Linked DNA regions of Macaca mulatta. The protein of the gene in region 2 interacts with the protein of the main gene of each other region in a pairwise test. Links are inferred from orthologs where the notes say so. Each region holds a gene or a part of one and is shown on either strand. Other genes may lie near its edges.

Region 1 (3,653 bases), on a different chromosome or scaffold from region 2:
TTGCAGAAGATGAGGAGTTACAAAGTAAGAATAATGGCTAAGAGAAATAGTTTTAAATAGTGTCCTCCAGCAGCGAAGAATTATTTTCACTTTTTATATGAGATAACTAACTGAATTTTATGCAGTTGTTGGTTCATTTCTGAAAAAGTGTTTTATTTATTTCCGAATAGGATATTTCTTTCTGATTGAGTTTGTGATTCATGACAAAATGTTTTTTCAAATTTAAAGTAGCTTTATCAGGTAATACTTGAAATATTTAAATTATAGGTCAAATTTGAAATCATGCTTAGCCATTTGTATGTAACTTGGTAAGAACTAAATGAATTACCGCATTTTACTCGTGTTTTTTTGTGGTAATAACATTACAGATTTGTAAAAAAAAGAAAATGTATTAGAATTATCTTACATTAGGCTTCCCTAAGTATTCTTTCTGAGTTAACCAATTGCTTTTTAAATTATAGCTTTCTCAGCTACCTCTCTAAAAGTCATGCTTCAGTAGATTTTTTTTATAGGGTGCACAGTTCTATACTAAGCTCTTGGAATAATTATGATATTGCAAACAGATTTTATCATAACACTTTTATTTTCATTAGTTTTGCCATATGCACGTCCTTTGTTTTATCCTATGACATGTTTCAGAGTGCCTTTTATTGAGTTCTTTGTGAAATTTTCCTTAAAACTTTCCTATGCAGATGATTACAAATCATATTGAGTTTAAATACAAGTTTGTTTGTTTGTTTGTTTAGAGACGGGGTCTTGCTGTGTTGCCTAGGCTAGTCTTGAACTCCTGGGCTCAAGCAGTCCTCCCACCTCAGCCTTCCAAAGTGTTGAGATTACAGGCATGAGCCACCTCACCCTAGCCTAGCTAAAAGTATTTTTGACAGGTGATTTTGAAATTTTGGGGGATCTAATGCAAATAAACTACTTGTTGACATTTGACACTTTAAATTTTAACTGGCAAATACTTTAGATATGGACAAAGAAGATGCATTAATTTGCTTTGAAGAACACATTCGGGCTTTAGAAAAGGAGGAAGAAGAAGAAAAACAGAAGAGTTTGCTAAGAGAAAGGAGACGACAGCGAAAAAATAGGGAATCTTTCCAGGTAAAAGAAAAAGCTCTTTTCTAGCTTAGTTTTATATTATACTTACAGAACTTGAACAGTAATATAAAGAATTTTGAGACAACTGTTCCCAGATCATAGACTTAGGCTTTGTGAGGACTTATACACATTTAACTCTTTAAGTTCTACAGATGAACATTGATAAATGAGGTTTCGGTTGGGGAAAACAACAGGAGAGATGACTGGAAACAAGATATGTGTGGTGAGTCAGTAGTAGATGATACTTAGTTTCTAGAGGACAAAGGGACTGCTAGGGTATAGTTTGGGGATGGGCCATAATTTCTTAAACACTAAAAAAAGGACCTGGGATTGCATGTTTTTCAGCTAGTAGTTTATTTTCATCTTAAAGTATCATTTTTATTTTCAGAGATAGAAAATATCATGGAGCAATGAATTTTTTGCATTTCATATCTCACCCATTTCAATAATAATTGTAATAGCTAATGTTCTTTGATTGCTTACTGTCAATACAATTTATGTTTACAATCTCAATTTTTATGACAGTCTTATCTTATAAGGGTTCTTACTGTTTTTGTTACATAAGTTTATATAACTAAGGAAATGAAGAGGTGAAGTGACTTGCCCAAGTTCAACAGTTGCTGAATAGTGAAGCCAGAATTTGAATCCATGCAGTTTTGATTACAGAGTCTCTTCCATTAACCATTGTATTAGGGTGAATGCTAGGTTACAATGGCTTGAATTTTAAGTTTTTTTCTTGAAATAACAGTCTTTTTGGTCTAGGGCAGGGCATATTGCCATCCCCTAAGGCAGAGGTTCTCAAAATTCAGTGTGTATTAGAATGACGTAGAGGACTTTTTAAAAATTTCTTCTGGCTGGGCACAGTGGCTCATGCCCATAATCCCAGCACTTTGGGAGGCTGAGGCTGGCAATTGCTTGAGTCCAGAAGTTCAAGACCAGCCTGGGCAACATGATGAAACCCGCTCCCTACTAAAAATACAAAAATAATAATAATAATTAGCTGGGTGTGGTGGTGCACGCCTGTAGCCCCAGCTACTCAGGAGGCTGAGATGGGAGAACCTGAGCCCAGGAGGTCAAGACTGCAGTGAGCTGTGATGGCGCCATTGCACTCTAGACTGTGCGAAAGAGCGAGATCCTGTCTCAAAAAAAAAAGAAAAATTATTCCCACTATGCCAAAGGTTACTAACCATCTTAAACGCCACAGCCAGTAGAATGATTTCGGTCCTTATTCAATGAAAACCTAACATTTACTACTCTTGATGGGTTCCTTTATCTTAGTGACTTCCTAGACTATCATATTCTACAATGGTTAAAAACACAAATTGTTTGGCCTTACCTGAAGAATTTGAATTAGTAAGTCTGGGTTGTAGTCTGAAAATTTACATTTCTAAATTTCCAGGTGGTATCGATACTGTTGGACCATACTTTGAGAAGCATTGCCCTAGCGTGTTAACCTTCTCTGCAGAGTTAGGGGTATGCTGCCCCCATTTCACATTTTAACTTGGAAAAAGTCGAAAGAACAGTTCTTTTTTAAAGCTAATGATTTAGAAGTTCTGCTCACCTCCTTCATTTGGGTTCAGTTGCTGAGAATTTAGTCACATGGCCACAACTAGCTACACAAAGGAGGCTAGAAAACTTAGCTTTTAGCTAAGCAGCCATGTGCCCAGGAAGAAGGGGAGGACAGATATTTAGGAGGGCTATTATACACTCTTCCACAACCTAAGCTTTAACGTCTCTGGTGAAGGTTTTGCAGTGGTTTAAAATAAGGAGACATGTGAAAAAATAATAATACAGTGAAAATAAGATGGAAATCTGGGTCATAGAAAATATGAGACTATAACGTAAACAATACTGAAGGTGGAGACTATGAGGCGAAATTTTGATGTAAAGTCTGCACGGTTCCGCAAATAAGCCTAAATGTGGCTTTGAATCAGATTGCTATGTGTCTAGCATAGTTTCTGATTACTACTAATAAAATTGGTGTTAAGTATGTTATATTAATATTCTTTCAGATATTCAGCCTGGTAATTTTCCTGTTCTGCTACTTCAAAAGATTTATTTAAGACTTTAGTGAAATGAATTAAAAGAGAAGATTGGCATTAGACAATAAAATATAATTAATGGAGAGCATCTCAGTACTTATGGTTATGATGATGACTATTTTTATTTAGTGTTCATTTGCTAATCAGAAAATTCATCACGTCTATGACGAGGAAACTATGACTTTGTTTTTCTTATGTCTTAAAACTGGTATTTGAAGTCAATGTCGTCTGGAAAGGATTGATCTGAGGCTTTCAAGGAGAACCAGAGGAATGTATAGTGTCTCAGAAGCCAAGAGTTTGGAGTTTTAAGATAAAGCATGATCCCCAGATGCACAGAATCAGTATCACCTGGGAAATTATGAAAATGTATATTCTGAAACCTGGGAAATTATGAAAATACATATTCTGAAACCCCACGTCAGACTTAAAGAATCAGATTCTGGAAATGGGACCTAACAATCTGATTTTTTTAAACAGTCCTTCAAATAAGTCTTTGAGAAACCCCTGAGG
Region 2 (3,653 bases):
TGGCTGGGAGATGGAAACAGAGGGATCCCTTCTGTAAACCTTTTTTTGGCCTATATACTTTTCCATGCTTTTTAAGAATACTGTTTTGTTTACTTTGTGTAACTTTCAAATTTTCTTTTTGAGACGGAGTCTCGCTCTGTCGCCCAGACTGGAGTGCAGTGGCGCGATCTTAGCTCACTGCAACCTCTGCCTCCCGGGTTCAAGCAATTCTCCTGCCACAGCCTCTCAAGTAGCTGAGACTACAAGCGCGTACCATCATGCCCAGCTAATTTTTTGTATTTTTAGTAGAGACGGGGTTTCACTGTGTTAGCCAGGATGGTCTTGATCTCCTGACTACGTGATCCGCCGTCGGCCTCCCAAAGTGCTGGGATTACAGGCGTGAGCCACCGCACCCGGCCAACTTTTGAATTTTCAAACATACAAACATAGAATGTGTTTCATGTAAAATTAAATTTTTAAAAAGAACCATGGCCAGGCGCTGTGGCTCATGCCTGTAATCTCAGCACTTTGGGAGGCCGAGGTGGGCGGATCACGAGGTCAGGGGATCGAGACCACCCTGGCTAACACGGTGAAACCCCATCTCTACTAAAAACACAAAAAGTTAGCTGGGCGTGGTGGCATGTACCTGTAGTCCTAGTTACCAGGGAGGCTGAGGCAGAATTGCTTGAACCCGGGAAGCAGAGGTTACAGTGAGCTGAGATTGTGCCACTGCATTCCAGCCTGGGCAACAGAGCAAGACTCCGTCTCAAAAAAAAAAAAAAAAAAAAAAAAAAACCAAAGGGCCCTGAAATTATATATGGCAACATGTTAGGGCAACACTGATTGTTAAAAAAAGAATGCTATATTTTTATCTATTTTTGTGTGTGTATGTACTTGAATAGGATTCATAAAGCATTTTTAAAAATGTATAATCCTGGGACCCAACCCTAGAAATGGATTCAATAAGCAGCTCAAAGGTGGGGACCAGGATTCTCATTATCAACAAGCTCCCCAGGTGATTCTGCTGCAGGTGATCCATGGACCATACTTGAGACATGTTGTATCAGGGCTGGCGTCTGACTTCAGGCCTGCCACCTGGCCTTTGAGCCCCTGGTACAAGAAGTTTGTCAGAAGGATGTCAAGTTCCTTGGATGGATGCTATGCCTCACCCACTTCCACAAGGACCTCTGCTTATCTTTTGTCCATGCCAAATTGGACCATCCCCGGATATGCACTGTTGAGAACTGCCTTCAAGCCAAGGCCCACCCCTCAGGGAACTGGGGAAAGAAAGAAGAGCAGACCCAGGTTTGCCTGGGGTAGGGGTAGGGAATATTGAGCCCAGACAGCCCGACCCACTACCCTGGCCCTTGATCCCACCTGTTCCCGGGCAGCACTGAACATGGGCTCCTGGATGTCCGTGTACATGCGGCGGAGGGCATTATATCCTCCAGGGATGCTCTCAAGGTTGCTCAGGGCCCGATCCTGGTTCCGCATCATTTCTTGCATCATGGCTGGATTCCGAGCAAGCTCCATTGTCTGATCAAGGGAGAGAGACAAGATGGGCCCCAGAACCAGGGGAGCACCAACCTAGGAAAAGGGTGGGCCTTGAGGAAGTGGGTCTGTGTCAGGATCAGGACCAGGGCCCAGGAACTGCCCCACAGTGACAGAAAGTAGAATAAACTGGACTTCCTTCCTCTACTGTAATCTTGGCTCCAGGCCTGCCTCCCTGTGGGTATTTTGGTTGGCTTTTTCTAGCGGAGGACAATGATCCCAGCTGAAGTGAGGGCAGCAGCTTCCCTCCCTTAGGCTCAGAGTGTCCAAAGAAGTGTCAGGATGCACAAGGAAACTGAGTCAGAAGGGACACAGAAAGAAAGGGAAGGAAGCAGAAGAGAAAATTAACATCTACTGAGCACCTACTGTATATGGGCACAGGGCCAAGTAGTTTACAGAATTCAAGTCATATAATCTCCACAATAACCATCTCAGGTGGTTATTTCTGTCCCTATTTTGCAGATGAGCAAACAGGCTCAGAGATGTTAACTGACTTGCTGCCCTGGGACACACAGTCACTGAGTGGTGAAGACAGTGTTCAAAGCCAGGTTGGTCGGTCTGTCCAAGACCATACTGTGATTCCTGGTAAATGACTGCAAGTTGGGGAAGGAAAGGATTCAGGCTGGAATAAAGCTACTGACACCCTCTAATTCCCACCTCCAAGTCTTTGGCCTGCCTGAACCTTGAGAAACACTGAGGATGGGGGCTTTCTTCTATGGAGTCAATGGCACAATCTCAATAAGGGGTGGCTATGTCAACCCCAGGGGAGTTCATCACAGAAAAATGAGTGTAACTACTTGTTCGCATTCAACTTGGAATACATTTCCTCTCCTTCCCAAATCTGCTCCACACTTGCCTTTTCTAAGACACCTTTATAACTGATATGCCCAGCTTCCTAGAACTCTGATCTCTTGTCCTGTAATTCATTCATTCAATAAAAATTTACTGCGTGACTACTATGCACCAGGCACTGTTCTAGACAGTGAACAAAACACTCACAAGTCCTTGACCTTACATAAGTTATCTTCTGGTGAGTCCAACACTGGTGTCCACAGCCCTGCTGGGAAGATCGTCTACTCTGATCCTCTGGTAGAGTGGACCATGAGCTGGAACTCCCAAAGAGCAACATCACAACAGTCTCCCTTCCCAACTGGGCCCTGCCCAGCCACAGTGCTCCCCAAACAACCTACTATCTTTCACTCCCAGGCCTTTATATTTGCTGTCCCTTGGCCCTGAATGCTCTTCTCTTTTTTCCCCCGGTTCGTCTTCCTCCTTTGGGTCTCAGCTTGGTGACATCTCTTAAGGCCTCCTCTAAGCCTCAGGGTAGGGCCAGGAGCTCTTCTCTATGCCCCTAGAGGATTCCCTGATTATCCTTATGATAGCACTGACCACATTGTATTCTAATTGCTGGTTTACTTGTCCCACTTCCCTTTGACACCTGGAATTCCTGAAGAGCTAGGCCTGTCTTTTCATCCCTGTACCTCCAGTGTTCAAAACTGCTGAATACATGAATGAACAAATCAATGTATGGAAAGGCTGGGCAGGGCATGGCTGGGCACCAGCGTCCTCCAGCTCTCTAGCCCTCTCATACTCACCTGCCTCATGAGTTCAGGGTTGTTGAGCATGTGGCTGATCTCAGGGTTCCGCTCCATCAGCTGCTGCATCTGGGGGTTGGCCATGATCATGTGACGCATCAGGTCAGGGTTAGACATCATATCCTGGACCAGGGGGTTCTCCATGATCTGCGACAGCATCTCAGGATTGGACATCAGCTGCCTCTGCATCTGCTGCTGCAGCTCCATGAAGTTGGCAGAGCCCAGGCCCAGGCTGCCCAGCCCCAGGATGCCCCCAAAGCCAGCTGTGGGAGGGGGGCAGGGTCACAGTCTGCCACAAGATCCCTGTCCTCACTTAGCCAGAGCCACTGAATTTGGATCTCCAGGACAGGCCCCAAATGCTTCTCACATGTTCCTCTTCCAATCATTCCCACAGCCCAGCCCTGATCCACTGCTGGCAAAAAAATGTGAGCCTACTAGACTGAGGCCTCTCTGAAGGCTGAGGCTGCACCAAACATAGAACTGAGCAGAGAGAAGGCAACCAGCAATGGTCTGTTGAATGAGTGGCCC

What was found.
Region 1: the proteins of UBQLN4 (region 2) and PRPF40A interact in a two-hybrid assay, tested with the Homo sapiens proteins (2 studies listed by BioGRID and IntAct). The link is inferred for Macaca mulatta from reciprocal best matches to the Homo sapiens genes UBQLN4 and PRPF40A.

Annotation. Positions count from the first base shown.
Region 1 is NC_133417.1:57,579,105-57,582,757, reverse strand, and holds part of PRPF40A (pre-mRNA-processing factor 40 homolog A), read left to right. Parts: coding exon 1-24; intron 25-970; coding exon 971-1,104; intron 1,105-3,653.
Region 2 is NC_133406.1:110,886,187-110,889,839, reverse strand, and holds part of UBQLN4 (ubiquilin-4), read right to left. Parts: intron 3,389-3,653; coding exon 3,126-3,388; intron 1,516-3,125; coding exon 1,357-1,515; intron 1-1,356. UniProt on the Homo sapiens protein: Regulator of protein degradation that mediates the proteasomal targeting of misfolded, mislocalized or accumulated proteins.